Linked DNA regions of Oryzias latipes. The protein of the gene in region 3 interacts with the protein of the main gene of each other region in a pairwise test. Links are inferred from orthologs where the notes say so. Each region holds a gene or a part of one and is shown on either strand. Other genes may lie near its edges.

Evidence for each region.
Region 1: the proteins of cep76 (region 3) and nhlrc2 interact in binary tests that used the Homo sapiens proteins (3 or more experiments, as listed by UniProt). The two-hybrid records come from large-scale screens. The link is inferred for Oryzias latipes from reciprocal best matches to the Homo sapiens genes CEP76 and NHLRC2.
Region 2: the proteins of cep76 (region 3) and kiaa1143 interact in binary tests that used the Homo sapiens proteins (3 or more experiments, as listed by UniProt). The two-hybrid records come from large-scale screens. The link is inferred for Oryzias latipes from reciprocal best matches to the Homo sapiens genes CEP76 and KIAA1143.

What each region holds. Positions count from the first base shown.
Region 1 is NC_019877.2:5,392,955-5,399,385, reverse strand, and holds the start of nhlrc2 (NHL repeat-containing protein 2), read right to left. Parts: upstream 3,669-6,431; 5' UTR 3,632-3,668; coding exon 3,469-3,631; intron 1,395-3,468; coding exon 1,242-1,394; intron 1-1,241. Other genes in the region: dclre1a (DNA cross-link repair 1A protein), read left to right, coding at 4,186-4,612, 6,006-6,431. UniProt on the Homo sapiens protein: Required for normal embryonic development.
Region 2 is NC_019874.2:9,744,777-9,750,158, forward strand, and holds kiaa1143 (uncharacterized protein KIAA1143 homolog), read right to left. Parts: upstream 2,750-5,382; 5' UTR 2,651-2,749; coding exon 2,537-2,650; intron 2,096-2,536; coding exon 1,957-2,095; intron 1,855-1,956; coding exon 1,631-1,854; 3' UTR 1,369-1,630; downstream 1-1,368. Other genes in the region: transmembrane protein 42, read left to right, coding at 3,008-3,148, 4,021-4,167, 4,233-4,373.
Region 3 is NC_019874.2:5,535,642-5,541,861, forward strand, and holds the start of cep76 (centrosomal protein of 76 kDa), read left to right. Parts: upstream 1-2,401; 5' UTR 2,402-2,540; coding exon 2,541-2,603; intron 2,604-4,866; coding exon 4,867-5,016; intron 5,017-5,119; coding exon 5,120-5,204; intron 5,205-5,289; coding exon 5,290-5,505; intron 5,506-5,619; coding exon 5,620-5,802; intron 5,803-6,220. UniProt on the Homo sapiens protein: Centrosomal protein involved in regulation of centriole duplication. Required to limit centriole duplication to once per cell cycle by preventing centriole reduplication.

The DNA.
Region 1 (6,431 bases), on a different chromosome or scaffold from region 3:
TTGAAAAATTGTAGTTTGCTTCAGCCCTCAAAACCTCTGCCAGTCGACTGCGGCGCAGACTGTCGTGACGGCGGGGTCGTTCTGCAGGAGTGACCTGACAGGACGGCCCCCACACCTCAGAAGCCAGAGCAGCAAACACATTGTACCCATAGCAGAGCCAAGATAAGGCGGGTGTGCTGCTGTGCGGCAGCATCCGTGTGACCGTCAACTAAAAAGGACTTCAGCAAAGACCGAACAATGAAAAGAGTTTAGAAAATGTGTCGTTTTCTCTTGTTATCAAAAAGTGGATCTGATTATAAAAACAGAAAGAATTGCAGTATCAGTTTGTGATTAATTGAATGAAATAACGCTGCTAAAGAGGCGATTACAGTGCAGTGATAACAACTACAGCAGCACAAAGTCATTGTAGTCACTTACAGTGCAGCTTGAGCTTATTTTTAGCTGCTGTCTTTTTACAGAGGAGATAAGGACCTTCCTGCACTTGGAAGAGAAGCAGAAGGAGGTTATACTCTAGTTTCGCTTCCCAGCTCCCCTGATGCAGTGTGACACAACGCCGCACTCGAGCTGCCTTTACTCTGTAACACCTGCCAGACTGCTGCTGCCGCTCTCAATGAGCCCCAGATTTCATCAAAATACAAAAAAAAAAAATAATGTGCAGGCCAATCTATCAATGTGTCAGTACAATGATGCAGCTTCATTAAGATTTAAACACATTTAAATGTTTTTTTTTCTATTGTAGGAGCTAAACATCTTTAATTAAAATCTATTTTAATGAGTTTAAAGAAACCTTTATTAAAACGGAGCAAAGCACAGTTTGCCAATCCAAATTTGAAACCAAACCTCTACAAAATAAAAGCATATTTGACACTGTTTATCTTTCAACTATGCATAGCAATTATGATTGTGATGGCTTATTGTTAAATCCTGAAAAGCAGGGGAGTACTGGGCGATGAAAAGACATTATTCTTCAAATGCAGCTAATCTTTTAATTTCAAGCTTTTACTGCCTGTTGTAGATAATGACTTATTTCATGTACCTGATAAGGTCCAAATGGCTAAAAAAATTCAACTGTTTTTCCTCTTGGTCTGTTTAAAAGGGTTTCAAATAAAAAAATAAAAAGCATAACTTTTTAGAAACACTATTTTTCCCCAAAAGAAAAGATGATGTGATTTATTTATTTTTTTAAATAAAAAAAAATCCTTTGTGGCCAGAAGAAGTGGATGCAAACAATTTGCCCAGACCTTGAGTTGAGTGTCTCTTCTCCAATTGGTGCAGGTCAGGGAGGATATGCATGCAGTTGATGCAGCAGTAAGTGAAGAAATCCAGCAGCACCACTTTCCCGGCCAGATCCTTATTTAGAGACAGCGGCGCATCTGTGTTCAGCCACTCTAAGCCTAGAACAAAACTAAAACAGGTCAGAAATGCACCCACCCTTTAAATGTATCAATCTGTGTGCAAACATATGTCTTTTTAATCTCCAATCAACAAAATTCTTCTATTTCTTTTTCTTACAACACATTTTTTTTCTACGAACTAGATGACAGAGACTCTTAAACACACTGAAGAAGATATGAGGGTTGTGAAATAAAGCAAAAAGTTTTTTTTACAAATCTATGCATCAATTGTTACAACGAGAAAATATTTTAAAATACATAAGTGCTGACACTAAAAGTCCATAAAAAACATGTGCCTCTTACTTCTATTAAATTGTTTTTGCACATTTGTGAAACTAAAATGTATTAAACTGAAATTGTTGGTATCAACCAAAAAATATCAATAACAAATCGTGAAAAAAAAAGCAATCTAAACATGGAACTTTGTGGAGAAACTATAAGTTGATGTAACAGAGCAGTTCTGTGTGTTCAGTTGGGCTTCAAGTTCTCAAACCAATAGATGAAGGGGGAGGAATAAATCACTTAAAAGAGCTTTGTTTGAGGGTCAAATGTGCAAAAATATTTTAAAAAGCAGCACATTTTTCCAGAAACTGGACCGACTTAAAATCTGTCAGAATTGACAAAACAAACAGAATAACCTTCTCTATATCTCCAATACATGACGACTCACTCGGGAGGTCACAACAGAGCCCTGCCCAGCATTTAATTAACAAACTTAGTTCTAAGCAGTCCCCATAAATTAACAAAACAAAAGGAAAGAAAACCGTCAATGTGACAAACATCCAAGAAGAGAAGCACTGCTGACCTAAAATACAGTATAACTTCACCAAAGTTATTGCACAAGTTTGCAAATATTGTCATTAATGAGACAAAAGTTCATCTTTTTGAAAGATTGTAACATCAGATGTAGGCTGACAATTTTTGAAATTAACACCCAACCAACAGTGAAACATGGTGGCGGTAATATGATGGTTTGGGATTTCAGGACGGAACTTTCTAAATGTTTAAATTCTGCAAAGATAGTTAGGTCAAAATACCTCCTAAGCTACATTTTTGACGCAACACTAGTTTTCATAAATGCCTGATTAAGTGCTACTGCAAGTTTTTTATACACAGCCAAGCAGCAATTACTACAGGGATGGACCTTGCCCTCCCCCCACTGCTGATTACCTGGATCAGGTGTGTCAACCAAAAGATATCTGGACAGGGTTTGTTGAAAAAACAATGCCTGCTTTAGACAATATCAAGAATTTTTAAGATATCACATATTTTATCCTCAAACATAATTGTTTTTTAATGAAGTTAAATATTTTGTCTCGTATGTGAAAAATATCACCCCCTACTGGTAAGGTGGGATACTAACTAAGATGAGAGATTTACTGAACTTAGCTTAAAGAAACTCCTACTCACAAACAATTTTTTCCCCTTTAAATTATAATTTAATGCAGTTCTGCTGTTATCTATGATGCATCAAAAGGTAGGAATAACATTTACTTGCCTGTCAACAACGAGCATTTGTGGTTAAATTGTGGCAGGAGAGTTTTTCCACTGGTGGGTTTAACATTAAAAGGAATAAATACATACATTGTGTTTAATACATTTAAAATAATTTACCTTTAACAGCCTACTTTGTTTTAGTCTACTTTGGATCGTTGTGATGTTATTTGGTGAGGTAATTATTAAATAAGATAACAAAACAAACCTCAGATTCGCAGAAAAATGCTTGAAAAAACATAGGTTGTAAATAAAATTGAGAGCAAACTGTTAGTTATAATGCTACAATGTTTTAGTATAAAACATATATTTATTGTAAACTGTTTTCCAAAGTCTTTTGTCAGCTGCTGTTGAGGGGAGATGGTTATCTGTACCTTAAAAAGACAGGAAACCTGAGAAAAATGATATAAAAATGAAAATTTTAAAAATGGTTGAATCCAACAACAGAAAGTGCCTTCTGTGTGTTCAGTTCTCAATTATTTAAAATGGTAGTAAAATGTAGTTAGCAAACTTTAGAGAAGGTGTTTTGACAGAATAACACAGAGCTATGCGGAAGTTAAAAGATGCTAGAGGGTCTAACCTGTTTGGAAATCAGGAATCTTCGTGTCTTCCCTCTCGTCTACCCTTTCCAAAAACTGGTGAACAAGTTCCTCTTTTTCTTCTTGCGTAGTGGCGTTTTCTAGGTCACAATCAAGCTGACTCTGAATGGGAAACAGAGTGGAGAGGCTACACTTGGACGCCATGTTTTCAAAAGGCGTTTGGAATGTCTGCACGTCATCAGTTGCTTGGTAGTGACGAGCCAATCACAAAAGACTCCGCCTTTCGTTCTTCGGCTGTGATTTACGTATACAAGTACTTAAATTCGTAACAGCACTTTTACAAGAAAAATAATAATGCAAAAACATATAAATTTAAATATATTTTAATCTGTGGTTGCTTTATAGGAATATTACTTGAGGAAAAATATGTATATGTTTTTTATGTAAATAATACACCATAGAAAAATAGTTCTCTTTTGGAAACTGTTACCGTTTTAAGCTAGTTACATTCACTTAGTTTATCAACACACCTTGGCGGCAAGTCATGCTAACAGAAATATATTGAAAAATCCAAATTAAGCTAAATATGTGGAGAAAACGTAACACCGTGTATTTTTAACAATCTACGCAAGTATTTTTTTTACAACATTTATCATATTTACGAACAAACTCGTTTTTCAGTATTTTCTTTGCCGCGGAATGTTACCAAACGTTAGGACTTGTGTAATAACAGGCTTGCGTTACTGTCTCTTGTCCAAATGTCACAGAAGGACGACTCTGAAAATGACATTTGGGAGTACAGACCCCTTGAGAAGAAAAGAAAAAGGAACGACTCACCGTCTGGGACCAAAAGAAGAACAAGAAGCACCTCCAGGAAAACTAAGAAGCAAACTTCTGTTTCAATTAAGTCAGATAAGAGTTTGAACAAAGCAGCAGAAAGGAGGGATTCATGCACCACAACCGGTAACGAAGACGCCAGAAGCAGCTTAAAGTCTCACAATTTACCCTTTAATGCATCCAAAACGCAAGACTCCACACAAAAAAGCAACGACAATGTTGTCGAGGAGCCAACATCATCAGAAGACTTCTGTCCAGTCTGCCAGATGCCATTCAGCATTTTGGTCGTGCAGACCCAAAGATGGCATATCGCTGAATGTCTGGACACTCCAAGGGACAAATGCAAAGGTACACACATCCAGATAAAACTCACCCTCAAACTGACCGAATGGATCTAACACTTAGATTGTCGTGTTCATGTTTTCCTCTGCAATAATATGTGCTCTTATAACAAACGTACACATCTAGGATAATTGTTGAAGATTGGCAAACTGTTGTCATTCCTTTAAGATAAAAGCATAGGTGCAATCTGATATGAATAATGTGAAAGATACAACTTTAAAGGATTGAAGATCAACAATAAAAACTTGATTTAATTAATCAAGCAGTTTTTTATTGTCTCATCAACCATGTTTATGAAACAAATTTGTTCCTAGGTCCCATTTACAAGGTGCAGAATAACAGCAGGGATAGAATATTTATATAAAAATCATATATAAATACTGAGACCTATACTGTACATTAAATAAAATTATTTTTGGCCCATGCAATATAAAATATTACTATAAATTATTTGTTTTGAGTCCCCCCCCCAAATATTATGTTTTTATAAGGGTTATCTGTTAAAAAAAAGTAAACAAAAAAATTGAAGATAACTCAACATTTTTCTAAATTTGGAAAAAGTTCGATTTTGTTCTCATTAGTTTCAAGAGTCACTGCATTGTTTTCTAAGTGTCTTTAGTTGTTTTATAAAAGTTCCATTTAGTCAAGTCGTAACTAAGGCAACAACCAAGCCTCTTTTCTTGGCTTCTTTTCTGTAAATGCTTAGACCGTTTTTTAGCCGGCTAAGGGATATGCTGAGCAGGATTGTGTCATCAGCATACATACTCCAGGTCAGTCAGATGGTAATTGCGACCCTTCATGGACTTGCTCATGGGCCCGGGACATCAGCTGATCCATGATGAGGTCAAAAAGATGAGGAGCTGCCGCACAGCCCTGGCGAACGCCACTGGAGATGGGAAACCAATCTGAGTCTTTGGCGTTTACACGGACACTGCTCTCTGCGTTGCTGTAGAGCAGACTGAGTAGAGAAACAATCTTGGGTGGTGCTCCAAGGGTCTGTAGGATATTCCACAGTGAGGAATCACCCTTGGGTTTCCAGAGGGGCAGGATAACGGCTCTATTTCAGTTAGTCGGAAGCCTCTCTGACTCGTACACCTCATGAAAGATGTGGGTTACCCACTGGATGTTGTGAATCAGGAGCAGACCAACAAAAAAGCTGTTTGAAAAAGAGTGTATGTGTAACATAGAAAATATGCTGGGCGGGCTACAAGCTCCCTTCTTCAAACTCTCAGCAATGGGGAGGCGAAGGGGGGCGGGGGTGCTTTGCACTGGTGGTCCCAACCACAAGTCATAGGCGAATTTCTGATGTCTAGAAAACAACACGGAAAAGGTGTTTAATTTGCTATCTTGCCCACAGAGTCATTTTTTTTTTAACTCTTTGTTTTGAATGTCTGCACAGAATGTACAGATGGCCTCCAGTGCTCTTCCACCATTCCAAACCACTACAAGAACTTCAAACACACGCTCCTCGCTCACAGTCGTGCAAACAGCAACACGGCCATCGTCGCTCAGTCCCAGGAAGCCGCCGTGCCTCCCAGTCCGTGCCAGGTGAACATCTGTTCGTTCGAGGAGTTGCAGTCTTGCTCTCCGTGTTCTGCCGCCTCATTCAGTCCCAGTTTCTCCCCACAAGCGACTCTCTCTGGAACTCCTCCTTCAAAAGCAACAAATGGGCTTTTGTTGCTGCGCTCTCCAGGACCCGAAGACTTTAAGAAAAAGAAAGGCTGGTCTACTAAAAGCCAGACGTCTGTTGTTTCCTCACAGGAGCTTTCGTCTACTCCTGTCAAAGAAAGCAATACAATGAAACCATGTGAAGAGGAATCTCTCT
Region 2 (5,382 bases), about 4.2 Mb from region 3:
TCTTTTTGTACTTGAACATATTTGGATGTGATGGGAGCTGTCCTGCATCCAGAACTTCTCTTAAATGTCTTTCACCTCGATTGCAGAACCGTGTCTGAACCTGAACCACACAGCCCCTTTCCTGTTCGTGGACCAGCAGGTCTAGCTTCTGCAGGACTGATGAGCTGCACCTCATTACATAATTCTCCACCAAAGATTTCCTTATGGAAGCATTTGTTCAAGGTTGCTATGGTTACTGCTTGCCCTCAGCAAAAAAACACAAAGCTGGCATTCAACAGACCAGCATGCATTTAACGCCCTTTCTGAGCATTTTTAAGTCTGTGTTTATGCCTGATGCATTCACACTCACAGCTGGTTCAACCTCACTGTTTAGTTCAAGCTTACTCACATGCAGACAAACACTACACACATGCAGACAAACACTACACACATGTTCAAACTCTGCACGGGATGCAGTCTGCTGGCCTTGGCGCCGGCTCCAGATCCGTCTCTCAGATACGAGGGACCTGGATACCTGAAGTTGGGTTTCCTGCCTGTCTGGATGTTCTCTTTAAATGTTACAGCAATTACTAACATTTTCCCAAGATCACAATCGGAGCAAAAATCACTTGAAGTTTTCAGGAAAATTTTGCATCCACTACAGTTTAAAATCCTGACTGCAGCTCAGAGCAGGCCTGGCGCCATTGATGTCTGCATGCAGCCTCCTGCTCGTGGATCCTCAGGAAGTGTCATCAGGCTCTGGTGTTTGTCACAGCAGCTGATACTCTGGTGAACCCAGCTGCAGCAGCGTTACACAACAACAAACATTTTCCAGTAAATTTTCCACAGAAACTGTTTGGTTTGTGCAAACTAACTCCTGTTGCATTTAAGTGCACCCAGCATCAGAACGCTCCCAAAACGGGGTTCTGAAGGCTGTGTGGGCCAGAGGCTGCAGAGTCCAATGATCCGGTCTTCGATCTGGTTGTAATTTCATCCGTTCAACACTCTTCCTTTGACTGTGAGGATCTGGATGCAGGTGTGATGGAAACATGCCTTTTTGAATAAAGAGGTTTAAATATGTGGATTCCTGTTTGTACCTAACAGTTCCAGCTCTTTGACGTGTCTGGGGCCACACGCTGTAGATGCATTACAAAGACCATTCAACAAGCAGCATCAGAAACTTTAGCTCAGCTTTATGATGATTCATATCTTCTCTCTGTGAGAAGCTGCTTGTAGAAACAGATCAGGTCTTCAGAGTCTGTTTTAAAGAACGGCTGGTGTCACAGGAATGAGGTTTCTGGAGCTAGGCCGGTTTGAAGAAGACCTCAGCAATGAGATGATGCTGCTGCGCTATCCAGGCTTTTCCATGAGTCAGAAAAAACCAGTGAGTCCGATCATTCAAATGTTTAATGCTAAACGGGGAAAAAACAGTAAAACTCTGAACATTTTCACAAAACGGCAGCGTTGATGCTAACTTTAAAAAGGTTTCAGTTTTCTTGCCTTGGGGACAGGGCAGAGGGTTGGACGAGTCCTGATTGGTCCATCATGCAGCCTCTGGTTTGGTTCTTCGGATTCTGGTATTCAGGTATGCGGTGACTGGAAACCAACAGCCAGGAAGTGGAGGACCAGAACCCAACAGTCTGTTTAACATTTAGTCTTCCTCGTCTTCATCATCCCCTCCAAATGAAAGAAGGCTGATATTTTTTATTTTCTTTCCTGCTTTCTTTTCAACCCCTTCCCTTTCTCCTCCCTCCTCCTCCTCATCCTCCTTCTTCTTCTTCTTCTTGCTGGAGCTGGCAGAGATACCCTGGAATTTCTCTGCAGAAGAGCGCTTGGCTGGTTTCTTGAAGAGGATTTTACCGTCTGATTTTTCATCTGTGGGGGGCAATTGAGGGTAGAGGGTGTGGTGCACAGGTAAAGAAATTAGGGTGTTGGCTTCAACTCAGAAGGAGAAATTTTTTTTTTTTTTTTTTTTACCTTTTTCTGCTGCACCTCCAGCTTTTATATCCTTGATCATCTCTGCAGACAGGTCTCCGTCTGTCAGAACAACAACTTGTGGTTGTTCATCCTCTCGATCACTGCCGCTGTCATCCTCAGGTGTGGGAATCACCTGGCGCTGAGGAGCAGAACAAGATTTTGACTGATGGGACATTCGTTTCAAAGGATTTACTCTTTTGGTCAAACAGTGCAGGTGTTGCAGGTCCGAATCCCCTTCATAGCAGTGTGGATGACGCTGAGTTCTACACAACAGCATCATCAGAAGGATGAGCGGATCACCAACTGGGCCTCCTGGGCTGATGTTGGCTTCACCAATCTGTGTATGTGACTATGAATCTGTCTATGTATGTCTATGTGTGTCTGTGACTGAAAATACTGGAAATGAGGAGCATATTAAACTTCAATCGTCGACGCAGAGGCGATTTCTGTCCTCGTGAATCTACGTCAAGGCTTTTCAATGGACTAAACGGATAAAACCCAAAGTGAATTCACGGCTTTGTTGTTGTAGGACAGAAGCGTTTCCGGTGTCGTTTCAGCTCGTGGAACCGCCTCTCGGTACCTTGGTGTCCACGTTCGGCCCCTCCTTGTATCCAACGTCCGTTTTGAACTTCTTCAGGAAGGTGGGTTCTGCCGGCTTCACCCACGAAACCCCGCCGCTCCTCTTTTTATCCATCCTCAATGAGACGCTTCCAAAGCTTCTACCCACGGAAACATCATCATGAAGCAGCCCCTCGTGACGGTGAGGGCAGCTCTAACTGGTGGAATTGAGTACGAACTCTTCCGGGTAAATATGGCACTTCAGAATAAAAGAGTTACGTGGATGTTTTTTGTTTCCTTTCATGGATTTTCAGTAAGGATTTTTTTCATTGGGACCTAACAAACAGTGAATGTTTTAAGCCCACAAATGTAAGATCATTTTTGGTTTTGAGTGTGTTATTGATGAGCTTCTGGCTCTTATTTTGAAATGTCACCATCACCGGAAGCTCGACCCTGCTGTCAACGGAAGTCGGTCTCCTGCTCTGCTTTCATTATGTCTGGTGGGACTCTGTCCGCGCTGACGGCCGGTCTCCTGGCTGCTGCCGCCTCTCTGGCTGCCAAGTTGTCCCTGGGGGGGGACCTCCTGAAGCTGTGCGAGGCCGACGTCCCCGGGGGGGCCGCATGTAGCCAATGGGTAACAGCAAACAGAAAATGAATTGATGTTTGAAAGAGGTGAATGGCCCTAAAGTAGGGACCGCACAAGCCACAACTTTCTGTGGTCCAGTCAGAGATACCACAAACGATGGAGCTTCCAATTCCGAACACAGATAATAAACACAATAGCCCAATAGACCTCAAGCTCAGCAAGTTAATATTTTAGATATTGCTGATGATGGTCTTGTTTGTTTGTGGATACAAAACTTGGTAATCACAACACTACATCTTCCATGTCTGTACTCTGACTAAACACCATCAATTTTTCACAGGACATTATTGAAGTGATGCTGCAATTTTTAATATTTTTCAGAAGATCGTTCATTTTATGTTAGATGCTTTACGTCTGCCGAGTGCAGTTTAATATTCTGTATTAAGGGTTTGAACCTGTGACCTCTCCTTACTGCGGAGGTGTGGGATTCGGGTCTGCAATGATGAACGTCACACAAAATTTCCTCAAAGTTCAGGGGGTGGTTCTGGCGCCCTAGTTTATCTTTTAGCTTTCACGAATCTGTGAAATCGATTAAAAGTCATGAGAAAGCTGCCGTTGGCTCACAAATGTCCACTAAGTCCACTGTACCTTGTTCTAAATCGAAATCAGAGTATAACTTATGTCAGTAAGCACCACGACACATATATCAACACTGTAGATTTTCCAATTCCAAAACCAAGTTCTTCAATGGTGAAGTAAACGGCATGCACAGCGACACCCTTTGTGGTACCTACCTAAAGTGTAGCCGTCAGGACTGAGCATAGATGACCAAAAGTGTCGTCATTTAGATGTTGGGCTGTTTTATTTCTTTTTTTGCTTTGTAAGCACAGAGTCATGGTGGCTTCCTGCTGTCCCGGCAGATCCATGTTCTGCTGCGGCTGCTGTGTGGTGGCCTGATGCTCAGCTGCAACGCTCTGATGTGGACCTTCTTCTCCAGAGCCCTCCGTCACTCCTCCTCCACAGCCAGGACCACCCTCACCACCACCGGCTCCAGCTTCATCTTTTCTGTGAGCACCTCGCTTCTCCTCATTGCCGTTGTGATCACGCAGTGACCCTGAATGTCCGGCTGCAGGGGATCCTGGGGCGGCTGATGTTTGGGGAGAACCACGGGCCTTTGTGGTGGACAGGCATCAGCCTCACTCTGTGTGGACTGCTGCTGCTTCACGGAACCGCTCAGATGCCGCCGGTAGACCGCAGCTCCAAGGATAAGTGAGGCGCCAGACCTTCACCGAAGCAGAGAAGTGACCGATAGTCTTCGGAGGACGGCTCACTACTGCGGTTGTCAGGATCCTTTGGTCCTACACCAAAGCTTTGAAAACAATCTATAGTGGCAGAGATGAACCACTTGGTGACAGAAAACTGTTTTTTCCACGAGGTGGTTAAGTAAGTTAGGGTGTGCTGGTTTAAATAAATACTTGGGACTGGTTTGAAACTTTAGCTGTTTTTTGTCTGAAGCACTTTGATGGTACATGCAGTTCACAAGGCTTCAAAGCTTCATGGATGCTGGGAACTGTGGTCTGTGATTAGCCACCTCTTGGAGCGTCCTCTCATCTCAGACCAGCAGGAGAATCTCCACCACTGTTTAAGAACTAAGAAACGTGAAGAGACTTGAGTCGAGGACATTTTTGTTTCAAAAAATGCCATATTCCTGCACTTGTTTTTCAGATAAGTCTAGCTTCTTAGCATGTATGAAAATTACAAGTCTAAAAAAAGTCCCATAATGATAAAAAAGATGATAGATGGCATCTATAAAAAAGACAAAAGAGGATATCTATCTATATATATATATATATGGAAACACTGGAGGGCCTGTCTAATGTTTATGGTGTTTTATGCATAAGTAATCTTTTTATTTTATTCATATATTTTTTTACGAATTTCTCTTTTACTTTTCATTAACTATTGTTATTTTTGTATACTGCTTCTTAACTGGTGTATTCTTGACATGCTGCTTTTTTTAATGTAGTGGGTCTGGGTACTTTTATTGATTGGACTACGAGTCTGGAATAAACTCCAACTGTCCGTCCGTCCGTCTAAAACCTCCACCTCCCTCATTTATTCAGGTCCTCTGCCGACTGAACTATTTCTGTTTAGTTTATGGTGTGCATGTAAGTTAAAAAAAAAACGTCTTGAGTTTTTATAATCGTGTGATCAAAATTTAGTTTTAACTCTAGAACCCCGCCTCCTGCCTTTGTGTGCAGTCAACGTATTTCACCATCTCT
Region 3 (6,220 bases):
GAAAAGCGGGATTCATGACTCCGGAGAAGGCGTCTCCACTGCTCTAGAGTTCAGTGGCGGCGTGCTTTACACCTCTGCATCCGACGCTTTGCATTGCACTTGGTGATGTGTGGCTTGGATGCAGCTGCCCAGCCATGGAAACCCATTCCATGAAGCTCTCTTAGTGATTTACTTGGGCTGATCTGAAGGTCACATGAAGTTTGGAGCTCTCCAGCAATTGACTGCAGAAAGTCGGCAACCTCTATGCGCTTCAGCATCTACTGACACCTCTCCGTCACTTACGTGGTCTACCACTTTGTGGCTGAGTTGCTGTTGTTCCCAAACTTTTTCATTTTGTTATGATAGAGCTGACAGTTGACTGTGGAGTATTTAGGAGTGAGGAGATTTCACCAATGGATTTATTGCAGAGGTGGCGTCCTATGACAGTTCCACGCTGGAATTCACTGAGCTGCGGAGAGAGGACCATTCTTTCAGAAATGTTTGCATAAACAGTCTGAAAGTCTGAGTGCTTGATTTTATACAGCCCAGTGATTAGGACACCTGATTCTCATCATTTGGTACATTTGGTAATACAGTGTATTTGTTTAGCCTGTACTGAGCCCTGAATTTATTTAGTCACACCATACTCTTCACTGGTTTACATGAAATGTAAGACATGAGCAAATTCCAGTTAACAGCCAGAATTTAAAATGATAAAAAAAATCTTCAAAGGTAGAGAATCTTTTTATTCTTTCTCTCTCTCTCTCATCCAGCCCTGTTTGTATTGTGTAATCCAGAGGCATCACATCTGGGCAGTCGGCATCATAGCTTCAACATTCCTCTTTATACTGTGCTAATATTGGTGGTTTATGCTTTTTATCTTTTGTGTTTTTATATGTGTATATATACATATTTTAACCTGTCAAGCACCTTGTGACTCCTGTCTGTGAAAGGTGCTATACAAATAAAATGTACTTACTAATATATTTGTAATATCGTTTGACCATCAACTACTCCAATGTGGTCAGACTGGAGGCCTGGAACTGGATTCTAAAAACAAATTCAGTTTTTAAAGAGGGTTTTCTGGTAATCAGGACTTTAGTTATTTTATGTCGTCTGCAGTGGGACATTCTGAGTGAAAGAATGAAGCTTGGATTTATGAATTTAGCGACTAGCTGCAGAAAATAGTGTCCCTTCCTCTTCTACGTGTGCTCTTTACCACCTGGGACGACGGATATTTTTCCTTGTATTTGTTTTTATACCTTGGTATTTAGTAAGTGGCTGCACAGTGGACCCTCTTGCCTCACAGCAGGAAGGCCCCCAGTTCAAAGCCCGGCTGGGGGACCTGAAACGGAACACCAACGGGGACCTTTCTGTTAGGAGTTTGCATGTTTTCCCTGTGCATGCGTGGGTTTTCTCCGGGGACTCTGGCTTCTTCCCACCGTCCAAAACATGCTTCATAGGTAAATTGGTTACTCTAAATTGTCCATAGGTGTCAATATGAGTGTGTGTGTGGGTGTGTGATATGTGGCCCTGAAACAGACTGGCGACCTGTCCAGGATGTCCACTGACTTCACCCATGAGTGGCCGGGATAGGCTCCAGCAGCACTGGAAAAGGACTAAATGGGTTTAGAAGATGAATGAATTGATGAAAGAAAGTATTTACTAAGTGGACTGTAAACAGATAAAATCCCTGCTTTGTTTCAGAGCAAGGTAACATGTTTACTAAAACATTAAACTGGAAGTATAAAAATACCTGCCCATGTAACAAATCCATTGCATATTTGCCATAATAATCTAAATGACATCCTTGAAATTGTTTTTTCATCATTTCTTACAACTGCGATCAACTGTACAAGTCTGTGGATTAATTGGGTTTAATTCTAACTTGCAGAGGTGTTGTGGTTTAGTACTTTCCAGCATTAACCTTACATGTTTTAAAGGTCATATTGTCTGGACATTGGACAGCTTCCTTCAACACCTTTCTATTTTTTCACTTTGGAAGCTACGTTCTGCCATGTTTAATATCTTTTTCTAGCAGAAAAAATAATGAAGGGTGGACATTCTCCGTCAAAGGTGTTAAGTTGAGCGCAGAATTCATCGTTCCACAAAGTATGAGAAGCTGTGCAGGTTCTGGAGCAGCATCAGCACCACACGTTGCATTAAGCTGGAGGTGCATTGTTTAAGGCTGGTTTTTAAATGTTTCGCTGACGATGGACCAATGGGATTCCTGAATATAATTCACAACATTTTTGGCTAAAAATCCCGAAAAAACAATATTAATTTCTGCATGATGTGACCTTATAAAACTGAAAATTTTGATGTACAAAACAATGATTACTTAGCTACGCGATAGAATGAGTCATTCCATTTTCTTCCTTTTCGTTCAGGCATTAACCTAGACGCCTTCCTCTGCAACTGTCTGGCTGTTGGGCTTGTCAGGACCCCGTCTCTTGTATGGACATAACAGTTTTAGATTTCCGCTGAATTCAAAAATTATGCTGCAGAGCTTGTTGTTGTAAACTTTTAATCATCTCGTAGGATCAGATTTTGCAGCTATAATGTCTTTACCTCCAGAAAAAACCTCCGAACTGAAGCAGATTATTCAGAGTCACCTGAAGAAGGTAAGAAAATTTAACGCGCTAGTGTTGTATCCTCTGTTTTCAAGAGTTTGCACTTTAGATTTACCGTCCTTTATGATTATTTTTTGTGCATGAATTCTTATAGCTGTTATGTGTTTTAAACCCCGACCACCCTTCTGACCAACAACAAACAACTTCATCAAATATTTAAGATGGCATTACTAGTAACTTTTCGAAGGAGGAATTTTTTTTCTTCAGATTCCCAAAGAAGGGTTGAATTAAAAGAGATAATCATAAAAGCTATGTCATTTCAAACACTACTCTCATCACTACAGCAGCCAGCTAAAAAGGCAATAACAGAGATCAATAATCATAAAAGTCAATGTTGGGATTGTGACCCAAGGCTACAGCTGTTGCGTTCGAGGATCATTAAGAACCAACATGTTTTATGAAGTTGGAAGTATATTTTTTAAGTTGATTAACCTTTTCTTAAACCTGAGTTTTTTTTAAATATATTGTAACGATCCAGCCAGACCGTCACTTAAGCGGGGTAGCGTAAACCAACTGCTCATGAGGGAGAACTGTCCGAGCCCCATATACCGCACGACCCCGGTTGGTCTCAGACAGGAATTAACACAAGCAGAGGCACAGTCACCTTTCGAGCATCAAGCCCTATTATTCCAACACACTCAAACAGTCTAACAGCATGGACTGTCGCTTCAGTGCACAACCCTCTGACTCAAGGTTTCACCCTAAAGCTCCCCACTTCCCATGAGCCTTAGGGGCTGAAGGCGGGGCCAACCCCTCAGCTCAACATACATTAGGGCTGCACGATATGAGGAAAACTTGCGATATGCGATATTAGTGATCAATATTGCGATAACGATAAATTTGCGGTAAATAAACAAATAGAAAAATAAACAAAAACATCATTCCCATTTCATTGCAACAGTTTAAAAATTACACTCCAAATGACCCTCATCGACATGGGGGACAAACATCTAACATAATAGGCCTCCATCTGATTGGTTAACAATGGAAAGGCGTCCATCTGATTAGTCAAAGCATAAAGGTATTTATTTGATTCGTTAAATGCTTCAAGCTGCTAGAAGATTGTTTTAACACATTTTGGGTTTGCGATTTATTGCGATATTCGCCGTCTTTTGTGATATGCATATTGCAGAGCTGGATATTGCGATAACGATAAATTTGCGGTATATTGTGCAGGCCTAACATACATCATTATCTTCATCTTCTATGTGACATTAAAGCCTGTGTGATTGTAAAAACCTGCGGCTCAAAAATCTAGTTACCATAATCTAAAGCTGTTAGAGGACCCACTCCAAAGAAAATGGTGTTTTTAACATGTTCTTGTAGCATTTTTCCGATGATTGTAGACATTTATAAAGACAATTAAGATTAAAATTGCATTTCTGAGTATCTCTTTTAGATAGATAGATAGATAGATAAATGACTTTGTTAATCCCACAATGGAGAAATTTTAATTATCTGTGGCAGCAAAAACGACATTCAGAAATAATCTATATAATACAACATCAAAAAAGGACATCAAAAATGACATTCATATTAAATTATTAAAAATGATTATTAAAATTATTGTGAAAATTATTATGACAATTATTATCAAAAATGAGATTCGTATTAAATATTAAATAAATAAATACAGCTTCAAAAGTGTAAAAAAAAACACGTGATCAACTGTATAAACCTGTATCATGTAAAACATTTTAACAAATTATTTTGAACTGATGAAAATAATACAGTTTGAAAATGGTTGTAGTTGAAGCTACAGGCTCCCTGCTCTGCTCTATTCTGATGCATTCACTGTCAGACAAACAGATCCATGTACGTCTTTGTTTTCCTCGTCTGAGCTGGAATCTGGCTTAGATCTGTACAGCAGGATAGCGCCGATATTGCTCGCCATCTTTGTTGCACCGCTAATGTTAGCTTGGGGGTGTGAGGGGACTGTAAGCTAGCAGGAGAGAATGTAATCATAGGGTTAATGGGAAATGATGGCAGGCTCACTCCACACCAGCAGTCCTGCCCACAACTTGGAGGTGAATTTCTAATGAACTCCTGCCGCTCTGCAGAAACTATGTCCTAACAAGATTAAAATACCACTGGAAACAATTTTACAATAGAGCAAAAGATGATTGGCGTAGATTTTTAAGGCACAGTCCCCATGCTTGGTCTAACTGCTGTCTGTTCAAACTGTCTGTTCCTCTTCCCTGCTGAGGTTAAGTTCGAGGAACTTCTAACACAACCTTTTATTTCTGTTCCTCAGATGAACATCCACGGGAAAATCCAAGAGGTGCTGGCGGAGACTGCAAGGGTGGATCCCGGCTCTGGACGTTTGTCGGAGGAGGATTTCAGACGTGCTCTACAGCGCAGAGGCATAATAGATGATGTGATGAAAGACCTCCGTTTCAGCCAGGTGTTCTCGCCTCTCACTGACAGATCACATGTTAGAAACGAAGAGAGCTGTCTCTATTCAGAAAAGACTGAGGAACTCTATCACTAACTGCCTGCCTTTGTAGGAAAAAGCAACAAAAACAGCATCAGGATTTCCATCTAAGCCTTTCAGTCATTATGGTGACAAAGAAATGACCGAGCTGAGACAGAGTAAGAGAAATTATGATGCGGTGCACAGTGTCGTGTTTGTGTCATACTTGTTTTAATTTTTCTTACTTCTTGCAAATCAACGTAGACCCATCAAGGCAGTACCTGCATCTCCAAGTTCTTGGTGGGAAGGCCTTTCTGGAGCACCTGCAGGAACCACAGCCGTTACCTGGTCAGGTGTCTTCTACGTTTACACTCTACCTACATTTCCGCGACCAGAGGTTTGGATCTAAGCCTGTGCCCTGTACCTGTGAACCAGACATGAGGGAAAACTTCCTCCTGGAACTCTGCAGGGACAATGCAGGTAGGAGGAAAGTAACTGTTTAGAGGTTAGTGAAGATGAGCTTGAACTTAGGTTCCAGGCTTAAAAAATACATCTCCTCCTTGAACCTAATCATGACTTCTTTTCTTGTTAAAGATGGAGGTAAAGTGATGGATGCAGCCTCTATGCTGTCTATATGCGACCCTATCCACTTTGTCCTGATCAAGACGGACATTTCTGGTGAGACGACGCTGGTGTCGTCCTATTTCCTGGATTGGAGGCCAGTTCTCAGCTCAACAAACAGCAAGACTTGTTTTGCTGTGGAGTTAATGGGAGTTGGTAAGCCACCCTGATTGTTATGGTCGGATAAGCAACCCCTACTTTTAAATAATATATTACCTTTGGCACACTAAAGAATGAATTTATTTTTAAATGAGTTAATTTTGTAGGTCATTTTCCTACCTGGAAGTAAAACGTCTCGATCTCTGCGGCTCCGCCTTTCTGTCCTTGTGGGTGCCGCCCATTTCATGACATCATCCTCGGCAGCATGTCTGCCTTTCACCCACAAAAACAAACAACATCTGAACTTTTGCAAAGATGGATGTTCATATTGTGGAGCAGGGCTGCTCATTCCTGGTCCTTTAGCTCTACCACCCTGTCTGTTTTCCAGATCTCCAAGCTCTGCTAGCTGCTGAATGAGGGTGTGTGTGTTAGCGTGGGGGTGGGTTGGCACCGCAGACTCTTCCTGGAAGGGGCT